Lonchura striata: one gene and its partners. The protein of the gene in region 3 binds, or shares a complex with, the protein of the main gene of each other region. Links are inferred from orthologs where the notes say so. Each region holds a gene or a part of one and is shown on either strand. Other genes may lie near its edges.

The links.
Region 1: POLD2 (region 3) and REV3L share a complex: the UniProt entries of both Homo sapiens proteins name them as parts of the tetrameric Pol-zeta complex. The link is inferred for Lonchura striata from reciprocal best matches to the Homo sapiens genes POLD2 and REV3L.
Region 2: POLD2 (region 3) and POLD3 share a complex: the UniProt entries of both Homo sapiens proteins name them as parts of the both the DNA polymerase delta and DNA polymerase zeta complex. The link is inferred for Lonchura striata from reciprocal best matches to the Homo sapiens genes POLD2 and POLD3.
Region 4: POLD2 (region 3) and POLD4 share a complex: the UniProt entries of both Homo sapiens proteins name them as parts of the tetrameric DNA polymerase delta complex. The link is inferred for Lonchura striata from reciprocal best matches to the Homo sapiens genes POLD2 and POLD4.

The regions. Positions count from the first base shown.
Region 1 is NC_134605.1:68,476,882-68,483,986, forward strand, and holds the start of REV3L (DNA polymerase zeta catalytic subunit), read left to right. Parts: upstream 1-4,095; 5' UTR 4,096-4,205; coding exon 4,206-4,344; intron 4,345-7,105. UniProt on the Homo sapiens protein: Catalytic subunit of the DNA polymerase zeta complex, an error-prone polymerase specialized in translesion DNA synthesis (TLS). Lacks an intrinsic 3'-5' exonuclease activity and thus has no proofreading function.
Region 2 is NC_134604.1:19,187,206-19,194,628, forward strand, and holds the start of POLD3 (DNA polymerase delta subunit 3), read left to right. Parts: upstream 1-4,414; 5' UTR 4,415-4,497; coding exon 4,498-4,557; intron 4,558-5,603; coding exon 5,604-5,659; intron 5,660-7,184; coding exon 7,185-7,287; intron 7,288-7,423. UniProt on the Homo sapiens protein: Accessory component of both the DNA polymerase delta complex and the DNA polymerase zeta complex.
Region 3 is NC_134634.1:5,317,243-5,324,882, reverse strand, and holds the start of POLD2 (DNA polymerase delta subunit 2), read left to right. Parts: upstream 1-4,640; 5' UTR 4,641-4,657; coding exon 4,658-4,877; intron 4,878-7,372; coding exon 7,373-7,494; intron 7,495-7,640. Other genes in the region: GNLY (granulysin), read right to left, coding at 1,380-1,547, 1,627-1,737, 1,814-1,938, 2,878-3,037. UniProt on the Homo sapiens protein: Accessory component of both the DNA polymerase delta complex and the DNA polymerase zeta complex.
Region 4 is NC_134608.1:53,852,455-53,858,464, reverse strand, and holds POLD4 (DNA polymerase delta subunit 4), read right to left. Parts: upstream 1,706-6,010; 5' UTR 1,623-1,705; coding exon 1,385-1,622; intron 1,306-1,384; coding exon 1,194-1,305; intron 1,102-1,193; coding exon 1,077-1,101; 3' UTR 512-1,076; downstream 1-511. Other genes in the region: glycine N-acyltransferase-like protein 3, read right to left, coding at 2,548-2,968, 3,040-3,160, 3,767-3,887, 3,982-4,089, 4,504-4,581; glycine N-acyltransferase-like protein 3, read left to right, coding at 4,975-5,052, 5,469-5,576, 5,663-5,789, 5,872-5,989. UniProt on the Homo sapiens protein: As a component of the tetrameric DNA polymerase delta complex (Pol-delta4), plays a role in high fidelity genome replication and repair.

The DNA of each region.
Region 1 (7,105 bases), on a different chromosome or scaffold from region 3:
CCTCAGAAACACTGAACATCCTTGAAATCAACAGGAACTCAAACATGACTGACAAAGTGGGTTTTGAAGTTAAGATGTACTGCTGGAAATTTTACCTTTGTGTATAGTCTAAACTCTTATCATCAAATTTTGTTGCACTCGGCTACTATAAAATAGATATTTGAAAATGTGGATTTTCCCTTGGCCTCCATCATGTGTAGTCACTACATGTGTCTATTTATATTTGCATTTATAATTTTTTGTGAACTGCAGATATCATTTTGTGACCAGTTTTTTTAAGTAGCTACAAAGTAGGCATTAAACAAAAATAAAAACTGACATGTCTTTTGTTTTAGAAAACAGGGCAAACCTTTATTGATTTTACTCTATGGAGAAATTATGACTTAAAAGACAGCCATCAGTTATGCTGATAAATAATACTATTAATACTCAAATTTTGATTGTACAGCTGTTTAGCTGTGCATGATTAGAACCAGTTATATATTCAAGAGTGATTATTTTCATGCAAATACTTGGCTGGCTAATGGGGAGAACAGCTGCTGCTTAGCAACTAGAGGAACAGAGAAAGGGGGTGACTTGCTTTGTAACAGAAAATGGCTTGAAACCTTAAGAGAGAGAACATACAGTGTTTGGAGGTACCAGAGAAAATTAGTGGTAGTGCTGTTTACAAGGATGTTTCCTTTTACAATTACTGACACCCTAGGCAAGCAGCATTTTCAGGTAATGAAGTGTAAACTATAAGAAAATTTGTATATCATATATGCATAACACATGTGTGAGTGAACAACAAATAAAACAACTCCTAAAAACAAATACTGACACACAAATTGAAATGTAGGAAACCTAGAAAGAGATTTTGTGTCTGTCATCTATTGAAAGGGTTAAACCAATTTTCAGACTTCAACAACTTAAAACCATCACAAACCAAGCTTTCTGGAAGAAGTGCTCTTTATTTCTGCTGCTCAATCTCAGTCCCTGCACTGCCTCCTCCTCTGTGCAAGCACAGGTTTTCACACCCCTACATAATGAAGCAGATCAAGGACCTGAGTGAGGTTAAAACTAACCCATATTTCTTAGTGGGATTGCTTTTATCTGGCTCATTTTCCAAGTCAAGTTTCTTGTGCAGCTATTCAAATGTTTGCACTGACATGAGGAGGAGGGCAGGGGACCTCCTGTGACAGCGCTGACTCAAACCTTTACTGAAAATACAGTCTTACCTTGGTGCAACCCTGCAGACAAACCTACTGACTTGACTGCAAGACAAAACTGAAAGCAGAAGTGAGCTGCAGGAAACTAGGGAAACTGAAAAGGCACCACTCAGAAAGCATGCAAGTTCCACAAAAGTGTCTGCACAGGTCTAATGTACACGTGGATTACACTATTTATATCAAAAAGGATATTTTTCAAAAAGGATACTTCCTTTTTTTTTTTTTTTTCTGAGTAACATTCAACATTTTCAGAAATCAAATTAATACCTCATATGAACAAGAAACTGGCTCTAGGTTAGGGATCAATTTTTCTTTCTGATTTCAAAACACGGTTCTCCCAGATTTAATAAACAACATAAAAAATGCTGTAATTTTAAATAGAAGACTCTGCATTACATGCTTTAGCAAATCCTGCTTTATGCTTCCAAGAAGTTAGTTATCTCAGCTGTCTACACTGTTTTACTGTGGGCAACTGTTTCTCTTCAGCAGGACTCCCAGGTATGAACTTGTGCTACATCTCACACACCACACTCATTTAGGAGAAACCAGAATCCACCGGTGGCAAATGTTTTGGTTTATCCACCAGCCCAGTGGAGGGACAGATACAACATCATGTTCTCCTGCCTGTGCAGATGACAAAATACAGCAGTGGACTGGTACACCCCAGCACAGAGGAGGACTGCTGATCTACCTTCAGCTCATGCAGACATCAGACCACATCTGCCAGTGTTCAAAGATATTAACCTGTCAGTGAAATGCACAGTGGTGGGAAGACACATTGCTCAGCAAGTTAAGAAGATCATGTGAACAGAAAGAAAACAGAGCATGGAATGGAGTAACACAAGAACTGTTACTGTCGCTACCAAAGTTCTACAGAAAATTAAGGAACTGGATTAGTGAGGGAGCAGTACAAAATGTATTGAAATAACAACAGTTAGAGATGCTGTTTGTTAACATGCCCCACCAGTAAGCTCCTAGTGATTTATCAGCCTTTGTGAAATCTAAGTATTCATAAGAGTATTTTTGCAGTTCCAAAGGTTTTCCAAATATTAGCTTTGCAGATGTAAACCATTGTCAAAAACTGAAGCTGTAGCTCAGTTATTCTTTAGATACAATGAAAATAATTTGGATTTTAACCCTATTTTAACCACTTCTCTAACACAAGATTTCTTGATCACTAGGCAGTTGGATTTTCTTTTTCTGTTCACATAAAAATGAGTTTAAGGAGGAAAACAGATGTGAGCTAGAGAAAATAAACAGCTTACAAAGAAAGAGTAGGAAACCAGTTACCCTTGAGTAGACAGGCAAGCTTCCTGTTCATTACAATGAAAAAATGAAGGGTAGCAACTGCCTGACCTGTCTTTTGTTCAAATCTAAACCCGAAACACATGTAAGCAAATGCAAAACACGTGTTCTACATATTGGACGTTTGTCAGGTTTTATAGATTTGCACATTTGTCTCATATCATCCAGTCCTGCACGCACATGTATCAGCATCACTCTGAGCGCGTTTGAGAGCATTTGGCCTTTTAACTGGCTCATCTCCCACTCCACAAACTCTTTGGATATTTGCTATGTTTGGGGGTTTTTACCCCCGGATCTGCAGCTCTCAGACAAAGAGATTGCAACAGGAACCTTAAACCTAAACACAAGGTTTTTTCAGCGCCTCAGCCTAAAGTCAATCCTGTTTTATGGTTTTCAATAAAAACCTGCACGAGAGCGCTGCAAACCGCAAAGTAAGCGCTCATAAAGGGCGGAGGAGGAGGAGGAGGAGGCAGCAGGAGCGATGGGGGGACGCGGCCGCTGCGGGGCCGAGCCGCCCGCGGGGACGCGGGACGCGACCCCGCCCCCGCCGCTCCGCCGCAGCGCGCCCGGCCCCGCCCGCCCCCTCCGCGCGCCCGGCCCCGCCGCCAATCGCCGCCGGCCCTCCGCAGCCCCGGCCCCGCCCCCTCCGCGCGCCCGGCCCCGCCGCCAATCGCCGCCGGCCCTCCGCAGCCCCGGCCCCGCCCCCTCCGCGCGCCCGGCCCCGCCGCCAATCGCCGCCGGCCCTCCGCAGCCCCGGCCCCGCCCCCTCCGCGCCGCGCGCTCACCCTCACAGCCCGACGGCGCGCGGGCGCCCCATCCCCTCCTCCCGGTCCCGTCCCCGTCCTCGCCCTCATCTTCTTAGGGTGTTTTTTTTCTTTTTGGCTGGCCCCTGCGGCGTGGGGAGACTCACCTCCCCGCCATTCAAAATGGCGGTCGACCCAGCTTAACCCCGTCGTGTTCCGGCAGCGCTGCCTCTCCCGCCCCATCCGCGGCTCGGGATTCCGCAGCCTCACCCCCAGCCCGCGCGGCCGATCGCCGAATCACCGAGGCCGTCCCTCTCTCCCTCCCTGCCTCGTCCCTCGCCACCAGGGGAGGCGATACAAAGATTTTTTCCCCCGCTCCCACGCGCGCTCCCGCCCAGCCTGCCGAGCCCAACCGAAAGGTGGGAGCGGGGGAGCGCGCGTGCGTGTCGGGAGTGACGGACACCTCCTCCGCTCGTTGAGCCCCTTTCCCCCCCAACACATGGCCCGTCCGCCCCCGTCCCCATCCTCCCAGTGGTTGCATCCGTGACGACATCATCATGGCAACAGCAGCTGCAGCCCGGGGCCGGGGCGCCGCCGTCGCCGCCGGGGCGTCCGCGGGGCACGAGCCCGCGCTGTCCCTGAGGGGCGCGCGGCCGCACGGGCTGTAGGAGCGCGCGGGGGGGCGCGCCGCCGCGCACGCGCCCAGAGCGGCGGCGTCGGGCGGGGGGAGCAGAGACACAGACAAGGCGCGCGCGGGGCTGCGCGCGCTCCCGCGGGCGGGCGAGGAACGGCAGGCGCGGGGAGTGCTGCGCTCGCGCGCGCGCTCGCTGCGGCGGCGGCGGCGGCGGCGGCGGGCGGGGGGAGCCGTGCGGGCTCCGCGCTCGCTCCGCGCTCGCTCCGCGCTCGCTCGCTCGGTGCTGTGCTGGTGCCTCGGCGGCGGCCAACAAACATGTTCTCAGTGCGGATCGTGACTGCCGACTACTACATGGGCAGCCCGCTGCCCGGCCTGGACCCCTGCCAGTCCCGCTTCCGAGAGGCCCCGGCCAAACGGGTGCCCGTCGTGAGAGTCTTCGGCGCCACCCCTGCAGGTAAGGGATGACCCCCGCCGCCGCCACCGACGGGCGGGAGGGGACGTCCCCCCGCTGCGGCGCCGCGGGTCGCGCTGGCGCCGGCCCCGCCGCCGCCCACTCCGCTCCCGCTCTTTGTGGCTGGGTCGCGCCCCCCCTCTCCGCGCCCGGCGCCGCCGCTGCGGCGCGTCTCACCTGCCAGCGGCGGCCGCGGCGGCGGCAGGGCAGCGGCGAGGAGCGGGGACCTGCCCCGGGTGCCGCACCGCGCCCGCCGGTGGCCGCGGGGGCTGCGGGCCGCCGGGGCTTTGTGCGGGGCTGCCCCGGGAGAGCCGCGCGGCTGTGCAAACACCGGGAGCGGCCCGTGCCGCCCTCGCTCCCGGTGCCCACCGCCGCTCTCCTGCCCTTGCCGGGAGCTCTCGCTGCGAGAGGGCGAGCGGACGAGGGGAAGCCGCTGAGCGCGGGCACAAGCGGGACTTGTGCGGCACTTGGGAAGTGCGGGCTCGTGTCGCGGCACGGATCGCGCGCGGCCGGAGGCACCGGTGCTGCACTGCAGAGAGGAGCGTCCTGAGCGCCGGCCACATGTTGCCCCCGAGACTCCCGAATGTCACATGCCACTTCACTGCCTCTTCGCCGTGTGGCCTTGTGCCTACAGCCGTCCCGCGTCTCAGATGTGTTTCTGACCAATGCAGACAATACATTCTCAGAACAAATTCTAACAAAGTAAATACTTAGGAAAATTAATTTTATATGTATTGTAGTTTGCCCATACGTTAAATATTAAATTGGAAAAAACCCTTGGCTTTTGAGATACTCGACATAGTAAGCATCATTGCCTGTGATCTCTACACTTAACGCTGTGTAATACTGACCTTGGGAATTAAGGTATTTCTACATATTTTATTGACTGGCTCGGTGAAAATTATCTATTGATGCACATACAATAAATCTTATTCAAGACAAAAAACATGTAATAAAAGAGCATAGCAGAGGTGTCTTTCCCTTCAGGCAGTTATTATAGTAGAGCAGTTATTTTGTTGTATTTTTTGTCAGCTTGGTTTTTTTTTTTTTTTTTTAATCCAGAATTAACTGTCTTCTCTGTTTAAGCACAGAGGAATGTGACATATTCAAGCTGTTGTGTTCTGATGCAACTACAGCTCCAAATTATTAAGTGAATGAGTGGGATTAATAGATACAACATTGAAATAGTGGGACCTATTTTATTGTAGCTCTAATTCTGCATACAAAGGAGATATTATGTAATAATATTTATGTAATGGCAGGAGTAACTATTTCATGATTAAAGAATGTGGAGCCTGAGGTTGTTGGCAGGTAGCAGGATTTTTGTGCATGCATGTGGTTAACTCATTAAGGCTTATTTGCTTTTAAGAAAATGTTTAGGCTATGCCATATCATGAATGTGGCATCATAAAGTAAACAGTGAAGTAGTTTAGTTGTCCAGCTATTAGGAATACTGTAGGAAATCCCTGGCTTCCCCAACCATAAACTTTAGTGTCAGTTTGCATAATAGAAGTGTTTCTAATTTGTCTTTGTTAGAGAAACAATTCACTAGAGTCTGCAAAAGCAGTGTTACTTGTCTATCCTATTTATTTCCTTTTTAAACTTTTAAATTTTTTTATGTTTTGTACCTTTAGTAATGTTTGCTATTAAGCTTCATGAGCTTCTTACTGCATCTCTGCATCATTTTTTTTTTCCTTTTTAGAAAAGCAGACGTGTAATTCTCCCTCTTCAGAGGTGTTGGACCTAAGCACTCCTTGTCAGAAGTACTCTGACAGTGATTTTCAGGCTATTTCTTGAAAGCTGAAATTTAAAGTGAAGTGTAATCACTTACATCTGCACCGACATTTTCTTTGAGGAAAAAGAAATAGTGAAAACAACTTTTAGCATACTGTCTAAGACAATGGGATGTCCTTATTGTTTGTCTTACAGGCAGTGTGATGCTTTTCTTCACTTGAGTTGGTCTGTGTGGGAGCAATCCTTTCTCATTGGGTTTAATGTGTGTGCCTTGCCTCCAGGAAAGGTACTCAGTTGCCTTGTTTCCTGCATGGCAGCAACCTATTATGGCTGTATTGGCTGTTCCACCTCTATCATGATTAACTTTGCACGACTCTTAGTGTGTTTATAGCTGTGTGCCCAAGCTATGCAGGTAATTGGGAGTCAGGTTCAGAACAGACTCCAAATGTCGCCTGCTGAGTGAAGGGGGTTTGATTGGAATGTGGCAGTGGCTTATGCAGACGTTCAGAAAGTCAAACGTTTGGCACTGCTGTATCCTTATGTCCACCAGCAACTAAGGACAGTGGTCCTGAAGGCACGCACCTGTTCTTGCTGCCCCATCTTCTGCACTCAGTGAAGTGTGAGAATGACAGGGATTGCCAGTGTTACCTTTGAAGGTTTTTATGTAATCTAGGACTCAATAACTTGTAAAGGTTTACTGGTACAATCTATAAAATGAAAATGGCTTGTGGTTGGGAGAAGAAAAAGCCAGACTTTTAATTAAGAGTAATGGAAGGATCAGCTTCTAGAATAGACTGCGCTGGCAATAACATTTGACAACTTCTTTATGTCTTTTGAGGAAGAAATCTTGTATTTGGTAAGACTATGCAAATTCTGTCTTGATGTCCTATATCTTTGCATAGTGAGAACTTGAAAGACGAGGAATCAAAATTTTCTTTAAGCCAAAAGATCTGCCTGCTATATTCTGCTATTTTGTGAAATAAAGAGTAAAATTCTGATTACAGTAGCAAAAGGTAAAGTGAGCTGATTG
Region 2 (7,423 bases), on a different chromosome or scaffold from region 3:
CTCCTGGAGAGCAGCTCTAGGTCTCTGCCTTGGCAGGAGAGACTCATATTTTGCACCAACAGTGTGTGTGCAGCAAGTTATTTTCTTGTTTTTATGGTTAAGCCCCCAGTTCTCTCCTGGAGATCAAAGCCCAGGGCTCTTCCTGTCTGGCTGGCAGGACATGGAGCCATGTGTCACAGGACTGGGACCCTCGTCAGCACCACGCCACTGGCGTGCATCGTTGCTGCCCAATTTACTGTCCACATCCTGCTTTTCAGCCAGGCGGAAACGGGATGGAAGGGGCTGCGGATGGCTCACCTTTTATTCTTCTGCCAGGGCTGGGGCGTTTCTACAGCACACTGGGGGTTTTGTTGTGTCCATGATTTGCTGTCCCGTTGTACCTTCTCCTCTGGGTGCCGTAAACACAAGCAGAGCCTGTGCAGTCCTCACCAATTCATTGAAGGACAGAGTCTGATTTTTTTCTGGCAGGAGAGCCTCCCTCTGAGCTTTAGGGCCAATGCAAGTCGGGGCTTAATAGCAGGAAGCTGAGGGGAGGGCAGAGGTGGTGGCTGTGAAACAGGTGCCTGGCAAGAGGGGCTGTCACAGCTCATGGAGAGCTACAGGCAGAGGCAAAAGGCAACATCTTGACTTACTCAGGCTCTACAAGCACCAGCCACCTTACTAGGAAGGACAAACATTTCATTCTGGAATGCACCTGTTATAAATGAATCAGTCAATTTAATAATTAAAGGAATTTATTAAATCAAATAGAAGTAAAATTGGGAAAGCCAGAAGCAAATCAGCGCCGAGCCAGGCATTCGGTGCTGGGTGAACTGGGTCCGGACTAATGCAGCACCATACCCTGGCAGTTCACGGGGTACTGATTTCACATGGTCTTTTTTATACTGTTTCTAGAGTTAACAGGATTCTGGGGTGGTTCTCCTGTTTCCTTTTGTCCTTTTTCACATATTCATGCATGTTCTTTTTTTGTGGTGCTTCTAAACAGAGGCTTTCCTAGAATACTCTCATTGCTGAAATCCTCTTAGACAGTAATCCCCCCGAATATCTTGTTCTGGCAACGAATATTCATCTTAGCATTCAAGGCATATCTTCTAGAATAATCCTTCAGAATAACCATCTTTTGAGACAGGAATTCATCCTGTGTATATTGCTCTTTCCCATCACGTGGTTCCATTTAAAAGGATACTGTATTTTTTAGTCCTGAGCACAAATCTATTCTAAATCATATATTACACACCTTTCCCTGGGAAGGCTGGGGGGGAAGGGCTGGGGCTGAGATCCCCGGTTTGTTTGGGCAGGATCTGGGGGTCTGTGTCCCACAGGCAGGGCTGCTCTGCCCCCAGCCTGTTCCCTTCATTGACTCAAAGCAGCACGTTCCCAAGGCTGTGCCAAAGGGGAAGGAAAGCAGGGAAACACACCACAGGCTGTGCCCCAGGGGTGCAGTAAGGAAGTACTTAAGGAAGCTCCTTGATGGCCTGGGCAGACGGGTCAGAGCCGGTGTTTCTGTGCTGATTGCACTTCTCTGGGCAGTCGTCATTTTTTGGCTCATCTTGGAGCAAACACGGCAGGCCTTACGCTCCTCTGAGCTTCCCAGGAGCTGGCACTCCCACTTGGGAAGCTCAGATGTGTTGTTTGTCCTTCATCAACACTGTTGAAAGGTGCCCAGTAGCTGGCCAGAGCCCCTCCCAGGGGTCACCCTGCCATCTGCGAAGACAGCACCACTCCAACCAGCCAAAATCACCACTGATAGGTCACACACCCATCACAGCACTGCTTGTGGCAAAGATGCTCCTGAAGGGCTCAGGGGAGGGATGGCAGTTCTTAGGGAACACCAGAGAAATGTCGAGGTGAGACCCCACCTGCAGAGCTGCCCCACCCCTGGGGACACAGCAGCAGAACATGGAGCTGCTGGAGAGAGCCCAGAGGAGGCCATGGGGATGCTCTGAGGGCTGGAGCCAGGCTGGGAGAGCTGGGGGTGCTCACCTGGAGAGGAGAAGGCTCCAGGGAGAGCTCAGAGCCCTTGCAGGGCCTGGAGGGCTCCAAGGGACTCAAAATTCTTGGTATAAATCACTGTAGAGCCCAGTCTCAAACTGTGCCTAATTACAAATCCCAGGGCACTTCCACACAGCCTGACAAGGTGAGGACAGAGGTTGCTCAGAGGCTCCTCTGCAGCTCCGTCACCGAGGAGCCAGCCCTGCTTGTCGGTGCGTCCTTCAGAAACTTGGCTCTTTTGGAGCCTTTTTTGTGCCTTGTTGACTCTGCCTTTCACACCTCAGAGGAGCTGGCACTGAAGCTTCAGAGCTGGCACAACTGAGGAAGAAAGACAATGAAGCAAGCCTACATTAAGAGATCTCAAAATATTTCACCACGGAGATCAGGAGCAGCCTGGTCTAGTGGAAGGTGTCCATGCCCATGGCTGGGGAGTGGAACAGGATGGTCGTTTGGGCCCATTCCAATCCCCTTCTGTGATTCTAATAACTTGTTATGTCCAGTCCGAACCTTTCATTTCAATCTGTGCCCACATAGCTCCCTCAGAGTAGAAAGCAGGTCTGAGTGAGTGCAGATGCAGATCCCACATCATTTTAATAGAGAGGAAAGAAATCCTCAGCTGAAGAATTCTTACCTCTCACACTCATTCATACCCTTAAGCCAGCCTGCAGGGCCAGCACACATTGTGTCCTGAGAGTGAAAAGTGCTATTTTACACTCATCAGACACTAAGCCCAGGTCATGAAATCAGCTCAAAGCAGGAAACTTAAGGTAGAAAAAACAAAGGACGAAAAGAGACTTAAAAACAATGAAAAGATGAGTAACATGCTTAGAGCTGCACACTCCTTCCGTAAACCAGGCAGAAACGTCAAGCCAGGAATGTCACAGCACAAGAATAACTACAGCGAAATTAAGAAAAAGAGACAACAGGAGTGTGAGAAAAGGTGCCTGGCACACAGGAGGAAGAGGATGTGGATTGTTTTGTTATCAGCAAAACAAACCTGATGCCAGCTAAGTAATGAATGCCATTGTGAGCCTTGAGAAACACTCCAGCACAGGGATACTCTGAGTTTATTTTAACACTTATTAAACATGTCTGATTTCCTTCCCTCACCATTGCCAGGTAAAAAGCTGTTGTGCTCAAGTCAGGATCTGCATCTGCTTACAGTTCTCATGAAATGAGTGACTTTGACCAGGGCCAGGGACACTCCTGTCCAGCATGGCTACCCTGGAGTGGAATCACCACTGCACTCCCCAGCCAGGGGTTCTTCCCTGGGGCTCTGTGCCTGTCTGGAGCAAGCCCCAGATATTTGCTGATAATTGGGTATTTTTCAGCGTGCTCAGCTTCTTCTGGCACCTCCTTTCAGAGGTGCTGGTGCAGGCAGAGCAGGGAGGATGAAGGGGAGTGGGAGCACCTCTGCTCCTAAGGAACAAGGGACAGGACAAGGGGAAACGGCCTCAAGCTGTGCCAGAGGAGGTTTGGGTTGGATATTAGGGGAAATTCCTTCACGGAAAGGGCTGTCCAGGTGAATCCCCATCCCTGGATGTGGCACTTGAGGACATGGGTTAGTGGTGGCCCTGGCAGCGCTGGGGGAAGGATTCCACTCGAAGATCCTGGAGGGCTTTGGGGTTCTTCCCGTGTGGTTCTGGGGTTCCTCCCGTGTGGTTCTGGGGCTCCTGCGCCACCTCCAGCGACAATTCCCGGCGGCCCAAGCCCAGGGCGCTGTCCCACGGCGTGTCCCTCAGTGCTGCGGGCAGGCGCGGTGTCCAGCTGGCACCTGCCGTCCCGGACAGGGAACTGCACGGGCAGGGACGGTCCGGGAGCTGCCCTGCCATGCCGGACACGGGGCATGCACCCGCACGCACGGGAGCTGTCCCTGCTGTCCCGAGCTCTGCAGAGCCGCTGACCCCTCTCGTGGCTGGGGCAGGGCTGCTTTGGAATTCTGCCTGTTACAGCTTGGTTTTCCCCCAATCCACTAAGAAGCGTTATTATTTTATTTTATTTTATTTTATTTTATTTTATTTTATTTTATTTTATCTTTTATTATTTTATTTTATTAGTTTGTATTGTATTGTATTTTGTAATTTTATTTTTATTATTTTTATTATTTTATTTTATATAAAATATTATATATTTTTTTATATAAAAAGGCAGAGGGGGGGAAAGGAGGAAGGGGTGGAAGGAGAAGGAAGCGGGACAGGGAAGGAAAGGCGGAGAGGTGACGGGCCGGCAGGGCAGGTATCCAGGTGGGAGCCAGGTACCCTCCAGCCAACAAGAGGGAGCTGAGGAGCGCCACGGCCACTCCTTGTTCCCGTGGGGGGAGCGTGCGGCGGAGCGCTCCTGACCGAGGCGAGTCGCGGGCCCGCCCGGCCCGGCGGAGCGCTCCTGAGAGAACCGTGTCCGCGCGCGGCCGCCGTCGGCGGCGGGGCCGTTGCCATAGCGGCGGCAGCGCGCGCGCGGCGGCGCTGAGGCGGGAAGCGGGGGCTGGACAGCGGGCCCGGCGCGGCCATGGCGGACGAGCTGTACCTGGAGAATATCGACGAGTTCGTCACCGACCACAACCGCGTCGTGAGTGCCGCCTGCTCCCCTCTTCCTTCCCTGTCCCGCTTCCTCCTCCTTCCACTCCTTCCTTCTTCCCCCCACCCCCCGCCTTCCGCCGCCCCTTTCCTTTCCTTTCCTTTCCTTTCCTTTCCTTTCCTTTCCTTTCCTTTCCTTTCCTCTCCTCTCCTCTCCTCTCCTCTCCTCTCCTCTCCTCTCCTCTCCTCTCCTCTCCTCTCCTTCCCTTTCCCTTTCCCTTTCCCTTCTTTCCTTCCCCATTCCTTCTCCCCTCCTTCATCTCCCTTTTCTTCCTCCTTCTCCCCTCTTTACGTTCTCTCTTCCCTTCTTTCTCCCCCTTCCTCCTTTTCCCATCTTTCTCCTTTTCCCTTCCTTCTCCGTCTTCTTCCTCCCTCCTCCCCACTCTTCCTTCTCTCCCTCTGTTTTCCCTTCTCTCTTCCCCCCCTTCCCTAACTATTTTGAAGGCAGTTCAGAAAGCTGATGGTTTCCCACGTGGATCTGTTCCTTTCCAAGTTTATTTCAAAAATTTATTTGGAAAGAAAAAGAAACGAGATAAAATAAAATAAAAAAATAATAAAATAAAATAAAATAAAATAAAATAGGTTTTGCTTAGAAAATGGTGCAGCAAAGAACAAGAGCAGCCTGTGGCTTTGTAGCTCATTCCAGGAACAATGCAGACAAACGAGAATTTAATTGTGTTTTCAGCCCAGAGCCTGGGGCGTTGTTTAAAAGGGCAGAGCAGGAGGAGGAGCAGGTGTCGGAGATGTACTTGGTCAAAATGACACGGCAGGACAGGGATTGCAGCACTGAGATTTTGCAGCTGGAGATGTCCAGCCGCGTCCCAGGGCCAGACGACACACATTTGGGAAAGCTCTCAGGAATTCAGGGTGCTCAGTGAGGCACAGGGTGCTCTCACTTCTGCCGTGGGTTTCTTGCAAGGGAGCGAGGTGTCCAAGGAATTCCATGGACCAACAAGCCAAAGAGGGGAGATTGATCAAACTGAGAGGCCAAGGTTTTGCTATTGAAGTGTTTTTTTTGGGGTTTTTCCCCTTTTCCAGGTGACGTACAAATGGCTGAGCTACACCCTGGGCGTCCACGTCAACCAGGCTAAACAGTAGGTTTCCCTGCATCCCCCAGAGCCCCAAACAATAAACTGATTCACATGCATGAAATACTCTGTCAGTCTCCAAATCTGCCTGAATTGGAAGGTTATTATTTACTGCATTCGTTCAGTATGATGGAATATTTAAAGTTGCACGAGTACTGTCACATTTATAGTCCAAGCTTAACAGTTTTCCCCCCATTTCTTTTGGAAATAACAAATCTCTTGACTCACTAGAACTGGCCAGGGGATTGGCAACTTGTACTGTTATATTTAATGTATTTGAAGCAAACAGCTGACTTCTGACATAGGAACAAGTAATTACTTTTTCACTTTGTCTTAGCAGCTTGTGTATGTTTAAAATAAGATTACAGTATCACTGGATGGTTTGGGTTGGGAAGGATTTCCTGTCAGTTCCATGTCAATTCCTGTTTCCATTGTGGTGTGAGCCCATTAAAATGATTCCTCTGGAAATGCTTGCCAACCCTGCCTGTCTTCCCAGGCACAACCAGCTGTGGTAGTCCATGTGCCTGCCTGTCTTCCAGCCTTGCTGAGTGGGCAGTGAGGCACCAAAACCTCCCAGGGGTGTCAGGAATGCCCTTCTGGGGGACAGGCTTTGGAACAGGCTGCCCAGGGGCTGTGAGACGCACTATTAGATACTATTAAATGTATTTTCATACTAAAAAAGATATTATTATATATGTTATGTATTAAAAATATATATTATGTGGAATATATATTATATATCATATTCTATATTATATATGTAATATATTTGTTGTATATATTATATACATTATTATATATTATATGTATTATATACTATTAAATGTACTTTCATAGTAAAAAAGACATTTTATGTATAATTATATATAATATATTGAAATATATTATATTATACATTATACATATGTGATATAGATATTACATATACAATATATATTATTATATATTATATGTATTATTATGTATTATATGTATTATTTTGCATATTATATATAAATATATAATTTATTATATGTTATACAATGTATGTAATACATTACATATATGTATGTAATATACATATTACATATATTTAGTGTATGTAATATATATATTATATTTATTATATGTATTACATACTATTAAATGTATTTTTATACTAAAATACATTGTTATATTTATTATTAGACATAAATGTATAATGTCTTGTTATACATTATATAATACATTATATTTCATATAATATAGTACTATATGGTATTATATAATACCATATAATATTATATTTATTAATTATATTTATTATTATGTGTTATTAAATGTATTATATACTATTAAATGTATTTGCCCTTTGGTTTCTGTAGTTGTTGGACTGGACTCTGCAGTGGCAGAGGCACAAGGGTCTCAGAAAAGGAAGCCTGAGGGAATGAAATGAATCCTGAGGAGAGCAATGTGCCTGCGTGGCCAGTGTCCATGCCAGGCTGGCTCTGCTCGGGGTGTGCAGTGTGGGCTCTCTCCTCTCTGCTGGCTCACTCTGGTTTCTTTTGTGCAGAATGCTCTATGATTACGTAGAGAGGAAACGCAAGGAGAACTCGGGAGCTCAGCTTCACGTCACCTACCTGGTGGCAGGAAACCTCCTCCAGAATGGACACTTTGTGAGTGGTGCCCTTCTCACAGGAGTCTGTCAGCCTTGGTTGTGTTGTCTCTTCTGCCTCGTTCTGTGCTCCTGGGATGAAAAGCTGCCCTGGCTCTCTCTGCAACAGGAGCTGCAGTGTGCCAGGGCTTCTGGAC
Region 3 (7,640 bases):
ATTCCCCGTGCTCTGATTGGCTGGGACTGCCAAAAGGATTCCCCGTGCTCTGATTGGCTGGATTGCATAAGGGATTCCCTGTGCTCTGATTGGCTGGGACTGCTGAAGGAATTCCCCGTGCTCTGATTGGCTGGGATTGCATAAGGGATTCCCTGTGCTCTGATTGGCTGGGACTGCAGAAGGGATTCCCTGTGCTCTGATTGGCTGGGACTGCTGAAGGAATTCCCCGTGCTCTGATTGGCTGGGATTGCAGAAGGGATTCCCTGTGTTCTGATTGGCTGGGACTGCAGAAGGGATTCCCCGTGCTCTGATTGGCTGGGACTGCAGAAGGGATTCCCTGTGCTCTGATTGGCTGGGATTGCAGAAGGGATTCCCCATGCTCTGATTGGCTGGGACTGCAGAAGGGATTCCTTGTGCTCTGATTGGCTGGGACTGCAGAAGGGATTCCCCGTGCTCAGCGCGGACAGTGCCAGTGCCGGCCAGTGAGGACGATCCCAAGCCCACGGCAGTGCTGGTGACAAGTGGGTGACGAGGGACAGTGCCACGTGCAGGGACGGCTGCAGTGCCAGGCACAGGGTGCAGCGAGGGGACCATGACAGCTGGGACCACCCAGGCGTGCGAAAGGAACCGCTCGCTCCAACCCACATGAGACGCATCCCCACAGAACCGCTGGCACCTTCGGTGCCACCCTGGCCCTGCTGCGGGCAGGCCAGGCCCAGACTGTCCCCTGCCAGTGCCTGGTGCCATACAGCTGTGTCACCGTGTCCCCCCAGCGCAGACAAACAAGACCCAGGAGCCAGAGGAGGGACTTTACTGAGGGGGAGGGGGATGCCAGGGCTGCGGGGGCATCAGGGGCTGGAGGGGCGTCGGGGTTTGGGGGCACTCGGGGCTGTGCCTGTGGAGAGAGGAAAGAGCAGGGCGTGAGTCAGGGCCAGCACCCTACAGCCTGCAGCAGGGAAGGTTCAGAAACCACAAGCACACTCCCACCCCGTTGGCAGGCATGGGGTAAGGGATGTAGGGTGCAAAGTGTGGGATGCAGAGGGGGGTATGGGATCAGGATGTGGAGTGCAGGATCAGGATGTGGGTGCAGGATGGGGGTGCAGGATCAGGATGTGGGTGCAGGATGGGGGTGCAGGATCAGGATGTGGCTGCAGGATGGGGGTTAAGGATCAAGTTGTAGGGTGCACAACACAGTGCAGGACAGGGGCTGTGGGATTACCATGCAGGGTGCAAGACATGGTGCAGGATGCAGGATGGGGATGTGGGGTGCAGGGCACAGGGTATGGGACATGGGGACGCAGGATGCGAGGTGCCGGACACAGGATGCAGGATCGGCCCATGGGATGCAGGATCAGGATACGAGTGGGCACTGACCGTGCTCAGGAGCGGCAGATGCCCATGGCACTGCAGATCTCCTGGGGCGTCTCCCCGTTCTGCAGCGCCTCGCTGATCTTGTCCCGGTACTTGTTCACTATCCGCTTGCACACCTTGCCCACAACCCGGCCCAGCGCCCGGCAGCCCTTCCGCATTGCTGCTGCCACCGCCGACTGCCAAAGCCACCACAGGTCAGGGGGCCACGGGGAGAGGGCCCCTAGCCCAGCCCCCCAGACCCTCATCACCCCTCACCTCGTCGGGGTCGTCACCTGCCAGCGACTGTATCTTCTTCAGGACCTTGGTGCACAGGCTGCACTTAATCCCCCCACTTTGCCCCACGCCGTCCACGTCAGCCGCATTCCCCTGTGGGGACACAGAACACCCTCAGGGCTGCCTGGACCCCTGGTGGCCCTGGCAGTACTTGGGGTCGGGGTCTCACCAGGGCCAGGCTGTCGCGGAGCTGTTGGCACTGCTGCTCCCAGCCGCAGCGCGTGGCCGTGGCCGTGTCCCAGCACCCGGACGCTGGGTCACCCTGGCAGGGCAGGGGTGCCGTGGCCTCTGCTGCTGCACGGGGACAGGACAGTGAGCGTGGATGCAGGTTGGGTGCCCATCACTGAATTCCCAAACTCCTAAACCACCTGCCCCAGGTATTCAACCCCATCCCCACCATCCCTCATGCCTGTGCTCACATCCTCCTGTTCCCACTGCTCCTAGGTCCCCACATAGACCCCGTCCCCAAATGTCCCCAGGTGCCGGTCCCAACACGGGCACCGTGCCCATCACCCCTGGGTGCTTGGGCAGAGCCCATCCCTGCCACCCCCAGGTGCTTGCTCCCATCCCTGCAGCCCCCACCATCCCTCCTGATTGTCCCCTTGTCCTCCTTCCCACATCCCTGAGTGCCTGTCCCCACACAGACCCCATCCCCATCACACACAGGTCCCCACACAGAGCCCAGCCCCGCAGCTCAATCCTCCAGGCTGCCATCCCCCTCGTCCCGTGTCCTGTCCCGTCCACCTCGGGGTGGCCGTCAGGAGGGTCCCCATCACCTGCCAGCAGCAGCAGCAGCAGCAGGAAGGTGGCAGACATGGCGAGCCCACAGCAGATCACTGACAGCGGGTGCCTGCCTGCGTCCCGACACCTTTTATAGAGCGCTGGGGGGTGGGGGACCAAAACCCCAAAACCCAAACCCCTGAGAACCGAGCACGGCTGCTCCCCAGGGCCCTTCCTGCCTCACAGCTCCACCCCGCAGGAAGGGGTTACGGGGGGACTTGGGGAGCTCAGCACCCAGCCTCGGCCCTCGGGGAAATCCCACGAGTGGGGCGGGAGGGACAGCCCAGACCCCGAGATCCGTCCCGACATCGGGAGGCTGTCCCGGCTCCGCCTTGGCCCCCTCCGGGCTCTGGGGAGCCCAAGGGCGCAGTGTGCCCGCGGGGTCGGTCCCGGTGTTCCCCCTGGGGTCGGTCCCGGTGTCCCCCCTGGGGTCGGTCACGGTGCGCCCCTCACCCCTCGTGTGTCCTTCATCCCACGTGTGCCCCTCATCCCCCGCCTGTCCTTCATCCCACGCGTGCCCTTCACCCCACGGCTTCCGAAGGGCCCCGGGTCGGTGCCGGTGTCTTGGTGTCCCGGTGTCTGTCGCGCTGTCCCGTGTCCTGCTCCCCTCCATGTCCCGCTATGGCCCCTCCATGTCCCGCCCGGTCCCGCCCGGTCCCGCCCGGTCCCGCCCGGTCCCGCCCGGTCCCGCCCGGTCCCGCCCGGTCCCGCCCGGGGCTCTGGCCCCGCCCCTCAGCGCATCTCGCGCCGGCTCTGACGTCACTTGGCCGCGCGCGGCGTTCGCGCCTTTTCCCGCCGCAGCCCCGCCCCCATGGCGGGACCCGGTCCCGGTGCCGGCGGCGACCCCGGGCCCGAGCGTGACCGGCCCCGGGCCCGAGCGTGACCGGCCCCGGGCCCGAGCGTGACCGGCCCCGGGCCCGAGCGTGACCGGCCCCGGGCCCGAGCGTGACCGGCACCGACCCCGGGCCCGAGCGTGACCGGCCCCGGGCCCGAGCGTGACCGGCGGGGACCCCGGGCCCGAGCGTGACCGGCCCCGAGCCCGAGCGTGACCGGCGGGGACCCCGGGCCCGAGCGTGACCGGCCCCGGGCCCGAGCGTGACCGGCCCCGGGCCCGAGCGTGACCGGCGGCGACCCCGGGCCCGAGCGTGACCGGCCCCGGGCCCGAGCGTGACCGGCGGGGACCCCGGGCCCGAGCGTGACCGGCCCCGGGCCCGAGCGTGACCGGCGGGGACCCCGGGCCCGAGCGTGACCGGCCCCGGGCCCGAGCGTGACCGGCCCCGGGCCCGAGCGTGACCGGCACCGACCCTCGGCCCGCGACCCCCCAGCCCGTACGTGACCGGCGGGACCGGGCCGCGACCGAGCGGCTGTCCCCGTGCGGGGACGGGGGAGACCCGGTCGGGGGATCCTGTGGGGTCTGCGGGTACAGGGGATCCTGTGGGGTCTGCGGGTACAGGGGATCCTGTGGGGTCTGCAGCCCCGGGGGATCCTGTGGGGTCTGCAGCCCCGGGGGATCCTGTGGGGTCTGCAGCCCCGGGGGATCCTGTGGGGTCTGCGGGTACAGGGGATCCTGTGGGGTCTGCGGGCACAGGGGGATCCTGTGGGGTCTGCGGGTACAGGGGATCCTGTGGGGTCTGCAGCCCCGGGGGATCCTGTGGGGTCTGCGGGTGCAGGGGATCCTGTGGGGTCTGCGGGTACAGGGGATCCTGTGGGGTCTGCGGGTACAGGGGGATCCTGTGGGGTCTGCAGCCCCGGGGGATCCTGTGGGGTCTGCAGCCCCGGGGGGCTGGACCGTTGGGGCTGGGGGTGGCTCCTGCGTGCCCGGGGGTCCTGGTGCCAGCGGGGAGGGGGATTGTGCCGGTGGGAGCACATTTGTTGGGGGGCACTGGGGCATGTCCGGGGGCTGTGCCGGGCCTGGGTCCATCTGGAAGAGGGGTGGCTGTGGGGATGTGGTGGCCACGGTGTGTTTTGTGGGGACTTCAGGTGTCCTGCTCTGTGGGGGCATTGTAGGAGAGGATGGTGCGGTCACCAGGATGAGTTTGGGGCTGCCCTGCGTTGGGAGGAGAGGGGAGGAAGGAGGGCTGAGGGCTGCAGAGTGCTGCAGGGAGGGTCAGACCCGCACATGGTATTTTGGGGGTGGGGAAGATCATTTTCAGGGGGATGTTGTGCCTTGGGTGGGAGCCAGAGTCTCAATTCACCCGTTTATTTTCCAGACCCATCGTTGGAGCCCCACGCCATGTTTTCCGAGCAGGCGGCCGCCACGGCGCAGGGGCTGCTGGCCCCACCCTCGGCCGAGCCCCCCACCTTCCCCAGGGTGGCTGTGTCGGGGTACTCGGACTGCTCGCAGCCCTTCCAGCTGGGCGAGCGCAGCTTTGCCCGGCAGTACTCGCACATCTACGCCGTGCGCCTTGCGGGCATGCGGCCTGGCCTGGAGCGGCGCGCTCGCAGCCGATGGGGTGAGCCCGGGAACCCCTCAGCACGGGGGAAAGGGGAAAACACTGCCCTGGGAGAAACAGAACACTGCCGAGGAAAAACACTGCCCCGGGAAAAACAAAACACTGCCCTGAAAAAACACTGCCCTGGAAAAACACTGAGTGTCCAGGGGGAGCGGCTGGGGGGGCTCAGGCTGGAGAAAAGGAGGTTCAGGGGAACCTTCTGCCTCTCCATAATTTCCTGGCAGGAGGCAGCAGCCAGTGGGAGGGTTGGGCTCTGCTCCCAGGGAGCAGGGGCAGAACAAGAGGACACAGCCTGAAGGTGCAGCAGGAGAGGTTTAGGTTGGCTATTGGGAAAATTCCTTCATGGAAGGGGCTGTCCAGCCCTGGCAAAGCTGCCCAGGGCAGTGCTGGAGTCCCCATCCCTGTGGGGAAGTAACGGCTGTGTGGATGTTGCACTTGGGAGCGTAGGTTAGTGGTGGCCTGGGCAGCAAACATCTGTGGAGCTTAAAGCCTTCAGGTTTTATCTCGGTGTTTGACCAGATTTATATCTGGAGTGCAGAGATGAGTGTTCCTCAGGCTGGACGTACCCTGGGGCCAAGATCCATCCCTGTTGGGGGAGTCCATCCCTGCCAGGCTGGGATCCACCCAGAACCTTCCTGCAACCTGAGCAGCTCCAGTGTACCCAGTTGTGCCAGTCCCCAGCAGCGTTTTACCCTTGGCAGGGGCTGTGCAGCACAGCCAGTTCAGCCCCCAGCTCTGGCATGCACAGGGATGATGGGGCCATCCATTTGCAGGTGGATTATGTGGCAATCCTGCTGCAGCTCCCACCTGGAGTGCTGACCTTGGGACAAACTGCATTTCCCATCACAGATGGAAGGGGGGTGTGGGCAGGGAGAGCCCCATTGCCTTGGTCACATTGCCCCACACATTTCAGGGAGCAGGAGTTGAGTGTGAGGTTTGTCAAGGTGGGGCTGGGGGGCCCTGGCCAGGAAGTGGGGCACAGGAGGGTGCACAGGGGTGAGAGGTGCTGGTTGTGCCGGGGGGGTGTTTCCTGTCCTGGGGGGGTTGTGGTCTGCGGGTGGGACCCTCACGCTCAGAGTTTCCATCCACGGGATGAAGCAACTGGGGCTGCTGGGGCTCTGCCCCCCCTCCCCGGCCCGAGATCGAATTTCCTTCAGCTTTGCCCTTCTATGGGCAAAAACCCCTTCAGTGGAAGCTTTTGGGCCGGACGCCTGTTCTTGTGCTCTCCCCAGCCCCGTGGGCTGCGTGGAAGAAAAGCCAGCGCTGGTCTTTGGTTGGCCACCCTGCGCTTTGCCAAGTGTGACAGGATCCAGTGGTTTGTAAACTCCACCTCCTGGAGTCCTGGGACGGGACCAGATTTTGGGGTTTGTTTCCCAGCAGGAAACGCCTGCAGGCAGAAATCTGGAGAGCACAGCCCCCTCCCCCCTGAACACACATTTTGGGGAGTTTGAGCCAAAAATAAGAGACTTCAACGGGATTGTTTTTGTTCTGACTCAGAGTGTTTGCATTCCTGGGCTCGAGAATCCATGTTTCCAGTGTGGGGTGCCAGGGATGGCAGCGGGGTGCTCTCCCTGGGACAAGAGTCACGCTCAGCAGCGCGTGATGAGCAAAGTGGGATTTTTGGGAGAAGTGTCACCCAGAAAGGACGAGGAGCTGGTGCAGGCAATGTTGTTTTGGGAGAGGAGACCAGGAGCAGGTTCCTTGCTCCTCTCCGGGGCCTGAGGCTCAGGATGGACTTCACAGGCTGGTTTAAACAGGGAATGACAGTCCCACTGGATGGGAGGACACACACTGGATGGGGCTGGAGCACCTCTGGGTCCCCAGGGGTGGGGTAAGAAGTTTTGGGCTCACCTTGTGGTGAGGGAGATTTTTGCTCCTCAGCCACAAAGTGGGTGCAGCCGGGCCTGCAATGTTTCTTGCAGCTCCCGAGGTCCTCCCAGCCTGCATCCCCTGTGGATCCCTGCCTAAAGCCCAGGGACCTGTCAGCATGCCAGCACCTCCTCTGGAAGGGATGGGGATCCTGAATTCCAGCAGGGGTCTGGGGCAGAGGATCTGGCCCTGGCAGAGATCAGGTTTGGGGGTGTTTTGTCATCTCCTGCCTGTCATCTCCAGGATGTTTGGGTTATCCCCTGGGTGAGGAGCAGGAACAGCAGCCCCCTGCCCAAGGTGCCTCGTGGGCCCTTCCTGGGCAGAGCAGAGCAGTTACAGGGAGCTAACACAGCACCATGACCCAGCTTCCCCCCAGCACAGAGGAAATGCCTGCAGGCTTGCAGCCTCTGGAATGCTCCTCGGCCCCATCTGGCCCACACATGTCTGCTGGGCGCCGTGCCTCGAGGAGAAGCAGCAGGCTTCCCAAAACTCCCCAGCACCTCGGAGAAGCAGGAGGCTTCCCAAAATTCCCCAGCACCTTGGCACTGGGGCCCTGCAGCTGCTCCCGCCAGCCCCGCGCCGTGCCCACCGTCCCCCCGGGGCTGCTGACCCCCAGCTCTCCACAGGGAACGACGTTGTGCTGCGGAGGCTCTCGGAGCTGCACGAGGGAGAGAAGTGCTGCGTGGTGGGGACGCTCTTCAAGTCCATGCAGCTCCAGCCCTCCATCCTGCAGGAGATCAGTGAGGAGGTAATGGGCTCACCTCCTCCTCCTCCACACAGCTCGGGGTGGGAGTTGTGCCCGCACACCTGAGAGCTCAGCTGGGCTTCCATGGCTTCCCTGTGCTCGCTGTAGCCAGGGAACTGGCAGAGATTTGAGCAGGATGGCCTGTGTCC
Region 4 (6,010 bases), on a different chromosome or scaffold from region 3:
GAATTATGTCCTGTCTGTAGAAGATATCCAAGGGACTGCAGCTCCAACGGCAGGACCAGACCCAGCTGGATAATGCAATCCAGAGGGTTGGGAGCCTGCAGTGCAAGTGGGATGGGAGCTGTGGGTGGTCCCCACCCATCCCACCCCATTCCACCTCATGCCACCCCATCCCAACCCATCCCACCTTATCCCAGGTGATAGCTGGCTCCAATGCTGCACTAAAGCCAAAACTCTACCTCTATACTAATTCATAAATAGTAACCAGTACTCTGTGAGGATAGCTAGAAAAAAATTAAAAAGACTAATTAGCAGCATAAAAAAAAATTAGACTGCTAAAAATTAAAAAGACATCACTACCAAGATAAAAAGACTATCTATAAAAGTCCACCATATAAATACCCATATCCCCCAAATTAAAGTTAATAAAAAGCACCAAACCAATCAACAAAAAATAATTAAATATATTCTAGTGGGTGCACTAGCATTTAATGAATGCTAGACCCACGAGAGATAGAAACAATTTATTTTATTAATGAAACAACAGAAAGAGCTGGTGAATTAAGTCATCGATAACCTGAATAATTAACAGATACATCCTGTTATTTATCATTCTGCACACAGCAAAGCTGCTCATTCGGGCTAGTAAACATATGAATCCCACAGGACACTGTCACCCTTCCCACCCCGCTGCAGGGCATCCCCACCATCCACAGCCACCTGCCTCAGACCCCTGTGCTCACTTTCACCTGATTTTATACCTCGTTCTTCATTTTTTCACCCCATTCCTGGGGGAAGAAAATCCCACCTCCCTTTCTCTGCCCAAGAACACATTTTTCTCCCTGAGTCCCAGTTGGGTGGAATTAAACTGCGTGACTGGACACCCCACCCATCTTTTTTGGGGGGAGATGCAATTCCTGCCCTCCCCCTGCACCCCAAGGGTTTCACCCCACCCCGTGCCCCCCAGGCAGCACACGGCACCCTTTCCTTCGCTCACACCAACTTTAATCCAGCCGGTGTCCCTGGAATGGGGTCTGGGGGCGTCGGGAATGGGTCCCCCGCTCCCTCGGCGTGCTGGCTCAGAGCTCGTACTCGTGCCAGAGGCTGCGGGGACACAACGGGGTCAGCGGGAAGGGCGGGGGGCACCGGGAGGGGATGCCCCGTGCCCCCCAACCACCCTCCCATCCCACACCCACCTGTAGGTGACGTCGGGGTTGTCCCGGTGCTCCAGGAGGGCGTCACGGATGGGGCCGGGGGGGCTCAGCCCCAGCTCTTGTGCCCGTTCCCAGCGCTGCAGGCGGGTGATCCCTGCGGGATACCGGGGGCTCAGCCGGGCCGAGGGGAGCCCGGGGCCACCGGGACAACCGGGGGAACCGGGGGTGCTCACCGGTGCAGGGTCCGTATTCCCAGGAGAGGTCGAAGCGCCGCAACATCTCCATGAGCGCCGGGTCCGGAGGGGGCTGCGAGGGAGCGCGGGGACAGTCCCGCACCTTCAGCTGCGCCTTGTCCTTGTCCTTGTCCTCGTCCTTCTTGTTCTTGAGCCTGCCCGGGGGCCGCCGCGGGCCCCGCCGCCGCGGGAAGGAGTCGGTGATGCGCCGGGGCTGCTCCATGGCCCTGCGCGACATGGAGCTGGCACGGCCCCGCCAATACCGGGAACCGGGCGGGACCCGCCAATACCGGGAACCAGCGAGGGACCCGCCCCTGCCCATGGCCGGGCGGAAGCGGCGGGGCCGGGCCGGGGAGCCGGACGTGGGCGCCCTCGGACGCTGCCGCCTTGGCCGGTCCACCCTCGCGGTGGTCCCGGTCCCTCGCCCCCCTCGGCACCCGTCGGCTGTCCCCGGGTGCTGTCACCCCCCGTGTTGTCCCTGCCAGCAGCCGCACTGTCACCCCCGTGGCAGTTCTGGCACCCCGAGGGTACTGTCGCCTCCATCCCAGTGTTCCCTTTTCCCCTGGCACTGTCACCCGTGTGAGTGACTGTCACCCCAGGCACTGTCATCCCCAGCTGTGCCCACTACCCTCTGGTATTGTCACCCCTGTCACCCCCATCACTACAGCACTGTCACCTCTGTGGTTTCTCCCTGTCCCCCTGGACAATGTCACCCCCATCACAGCATTCCTCCATCACTGTCACCCCCTGTCTGTCCCCATCAGTCCCCCAAACCACGACTCACCCTGTGACACTGTCACCCTCTGCCCTGTCCCACTCTGCCCTGTGTGTCACTGCCTGTCCCTCCAGTGCCTGCCTGTCCCCAGCTGTGGTGACACCGCCCCGGTTGAGGGGGTGACACCGCAGGTGCAACCAGTGCAGATTTGCCTGCGGCTTTCAGCCCTCCCTTGGGAAACTGAGAATAACCGAGATGCGTGCCTTGGAAAGGGGTGGCTCCCAGGGGACCCAGCTGTGTGCCTCAGCGGTGACACGTGAGCCACCGAGCTGTGCCACCGCTGTAACGCTCAGCGCTGGGGGGACACAAAACCCCACAGCAGCCATCAGAGATGCCACACGGCTGTTTAATGTGAGGCTGGCACAGAGAGGGGACAGCAGGCCCTCCCTCAGGGCCCGTCCCTGTGCAGGCCAGGATTGTGCAGGATGTAGCGGCAGACCCCGGGCAGGCGCTGGTGGCCCAGCAGCTCCTGCAGCCGCTGCATGGGCCGGTTCCCCAGCGCCGTGTGCCCGAACGTGGGGAACCCGCGGGCCTGCGCCCGCTGCGCCGCCAGCGTCAGTGCCACCTGCATGTGGCCGCGCCGCCGGTGCTCGGGCAGGGTGTAGCTGTGGGTGCTCGTCCCGAAATGATCCGTCAGCACCCAGGCGATGGGCTGCCCGCTGCCGTCCTGCAGGCAGACTTGCGGGAAGCGCCCCAAAATCTCAGCCAGGAAGCGCCGGCTGCGGGCGTTCCCCCCGTAGGGCCACGTCTCGTTGAGCAGGTCCACGTGCGAGGGGCTCAGGGAGCCCACACGCACCCCGGGGGCTGGCCTGGGTGAGGCAGGGGTCAGTGGGGGGCTCAGGGGTGTTCCCGTGTGGGGTCGAGGGTGGGGGGCTCTCACCGGGGCTCAGGCACGGTGCTGGGGTCAGGGTGCCAGTAGGAGTAGTACTCGACAATGTCCAGCTCCACACCCTTCCTCCCCGCCAGGTCCTGGGACACCGTGGCCAGCCCATCCTGTATCCCTGGGGAAGGGGATGTCATGGGGTCCTGTTCCTCCTGTACCCCACCATCTCTGTCCCCAGCCCCTCTATGTGACCCCAGTGTCCTCCTAATTGTGCCCAGGGGCTGCCTGCAATCTCAGCCTCTATTCCCAGCACCCAAATCCTTCCTTCCACTTTGCCCAGTACCCCGGTCCTGGTCCTAGCATGCCCAAATCCAACCCCAGCGCTCCCCAGTGTCCCCAAGGACCCACAAATCCAGCTGCAGTGCTTCCCAGTGCCCCCAGCATCCCCAAGTTCAACCCCAGTACCCCCTGAACCCTGCTTCCAGGATGCTCAGAGAATTGCACCAGTGCAATTCCCTGGTGCTCCCCAGCACCCCTAAATCCCACCCCAACACTTCCCACTGGTATCACCCATCAAACCCCACCCCAGCACACCAAATCAGGCCTCCAGTGCTCTCCAGCACCCAAACACCCATCTCCAGTGTCCCCCAGCACCCCCAATTTCCTTCACCAGTACCTCCCAGTTCCTCCCTGCCTCCAACAGCTCTCCCCAGTGTCCCACACTCCCAAGTGCAGCCCAGAGCATGCCCAGGACCCCCCCAAGACCCCAGTGTCCCCAGGCCACCGATGAGGGTGAAGGCAGCGTCCCAGCGCAGGCAGCCGGGGGTCTCCAGCAGCTCCCGGTACGCCCCCAGGTCCCGGTAAAACGCCGCCTGTGTGTTCCAGTAGCCATCGTTCACCGGCACCTGGGGGCACCCAGGGGTGCTCTGAGCACACTTCGCACGTGCTAGGGCACCATGTCACCCCCCTCCTGCAGTGCCCCATGTCCCCACTGGCCACCTCTCCACTGGGCCGGGCCAGCATGGCACCGAATTCAGGCCACTTGTCCACCAGCACCTCAAAGTGGCCAGGGTTGCCCCGGTTGATGTTCAGCACTGCCCCGAAGACCTGGGGGAAAAGGGGAACAAGGAGGGGACAGATGGGGGTCAGGGATGGGGGCTTGATATGGGGGACACAGGGGCACATGTGGGACCAGAGCTAGGGGGTTTGTGGGAGCAGATAGGGGGTCAGAGCTGATGGGAGGGGGGCAGGTGTGGGGACAGGGTGGCAAAAGGGTTCCTAATGACACGGGAGTCTCTATCACCAGCAGGAGGGCAAAGGGCAGGGATGGTATTGGGGTCTCCCTCACAGCAAGGGGGATATTGGGGTCCCCATCACAGCAACAGATGAGTGTCGCTGGTGTCCCAGTCATGGCACAGTGCAGGGGTGACAGCAGGGTCCCTGTGACCGGCAGGATGGGGGTAGCATTGGGGTCCCTATCGTGGCACAGGGCAGGGGTGGGGACAGTGGGGTCCCCATCACCGGCAGGGCGAGGGGCAGGCTCTTCCTCAGGATCCCCTCCAGGTGCTGCAGCTGGGCTGAGCATGTCAAGATCTTCATTGTCCTGCTGAGAGACCCTCAGTAACAGGGGGACAGGGCCACCAGGCATGGCCCCTGACCCTGTCCCCGTCCCTTTCCTCACGGTCCCCATCTCCTCCAGCACTCACCCTGCAACAGTCCTGAGTCTGTGGGTTCCAGGGGGCTGTGGAGTCAGAGTCTGGAGACTGTGTGGCACTCGGTGACAATGGTTACCACCAGCTGTCACGGGCCAGCGAGTGCCCCCTGCCTTGGGGGGCAGCGGGCAGGGTCCATCCCGCTGAACACTGGGCACCAGGCCAGCTTTATGGCTGCCTGGGGACAGGTGCTCAGCTGGGACACTCTGGGACATTGTCTCAGTGCCACCAGTTCCCCACGGATCCTCAGTGTCACCACTTGCCCCACGGTCACGAAGCCATGCTGATCCTGAGGTGCCCAGCCCAGCTGCAGCTCCTGGAGGAGACCCTGCGGAAGAGCCTGCCCACCACCCTGCCGGTGACAGCCACCCCGAGGATCCCTCTGTCCCCCCTGCCCTGTCCTGCTGGTGACAGAGTCCTTGGGGACCCCTCTGTCCCTCCCTCCCTCCCTCTCTGCCGGTGGTGAGGACCCTGGGGACTCCTTTGTCCCCTCATCCTTGTCCTGTCAGTGTTGCTGATTCCCGGGACCCCTCTGTCCCTGTCCCCTGTCCCCTCTCCTCTGCCTTACCATTGATGAGGACCCTGGGACCCCTCTGCCTCCCCACCTGCCCTGGTGGTGACAAGGACCCCTCTGTCCCCTCTCCCCTGCCCTGCTGCAGACCCCGGGGATGCTATTGCTCCCTCTCCCCTGCTGGTGAGGGGACCAGAGGGACTCTGGGCACCCCTTTGTCCCCTCTCCCCTGTCCTACAGGTGACAATGACCTTATTGTGCAGGTCTTGGGGACTGTGATGACGGTGGCCAGGGGGAACCCGGCCTCCCACGAGGTGCTGGTGGACTCCTGGCCCCATTTCAGCATTGTCCTGACCCGCCTGCGCCCAGAGGTGCTGACCCCTGTCCTGACAGCAGCACCCCACACCCCAGGGGCCTGGCAAGTGGGGTGCCACCCTCAGCTCCATGTCCCTCCCAGGACCATAGGGACCCCAGGGACTACTACTCCAACCAGCTGTCTGTGTTCTACCGGGACAAGGGAGCCCTGCAGGCTCTGCTGGAGGGCACTGAGGCGGTGACCCAGGAAAGAGCCTTCCAGATTCTGGGTAAGGATGGCACTGAGGGGACACAGGGCTCCTCTACCCTCCATCTGGGTCCCCTGTCTGGCTGACAGACAGGGTGTCTCAGGGATGCAGGATGGGCTGGACGAGGCCGTGCAGGAGGTGGCCAGTGCCAGGGGGCTGAAGGTGGAGATGATCCGGTACCGGGCACTGATGAGCCCTGAGCCCCCCCAGCCCCGCAGGCAGTGAGTGAGGGGAACTGGGGG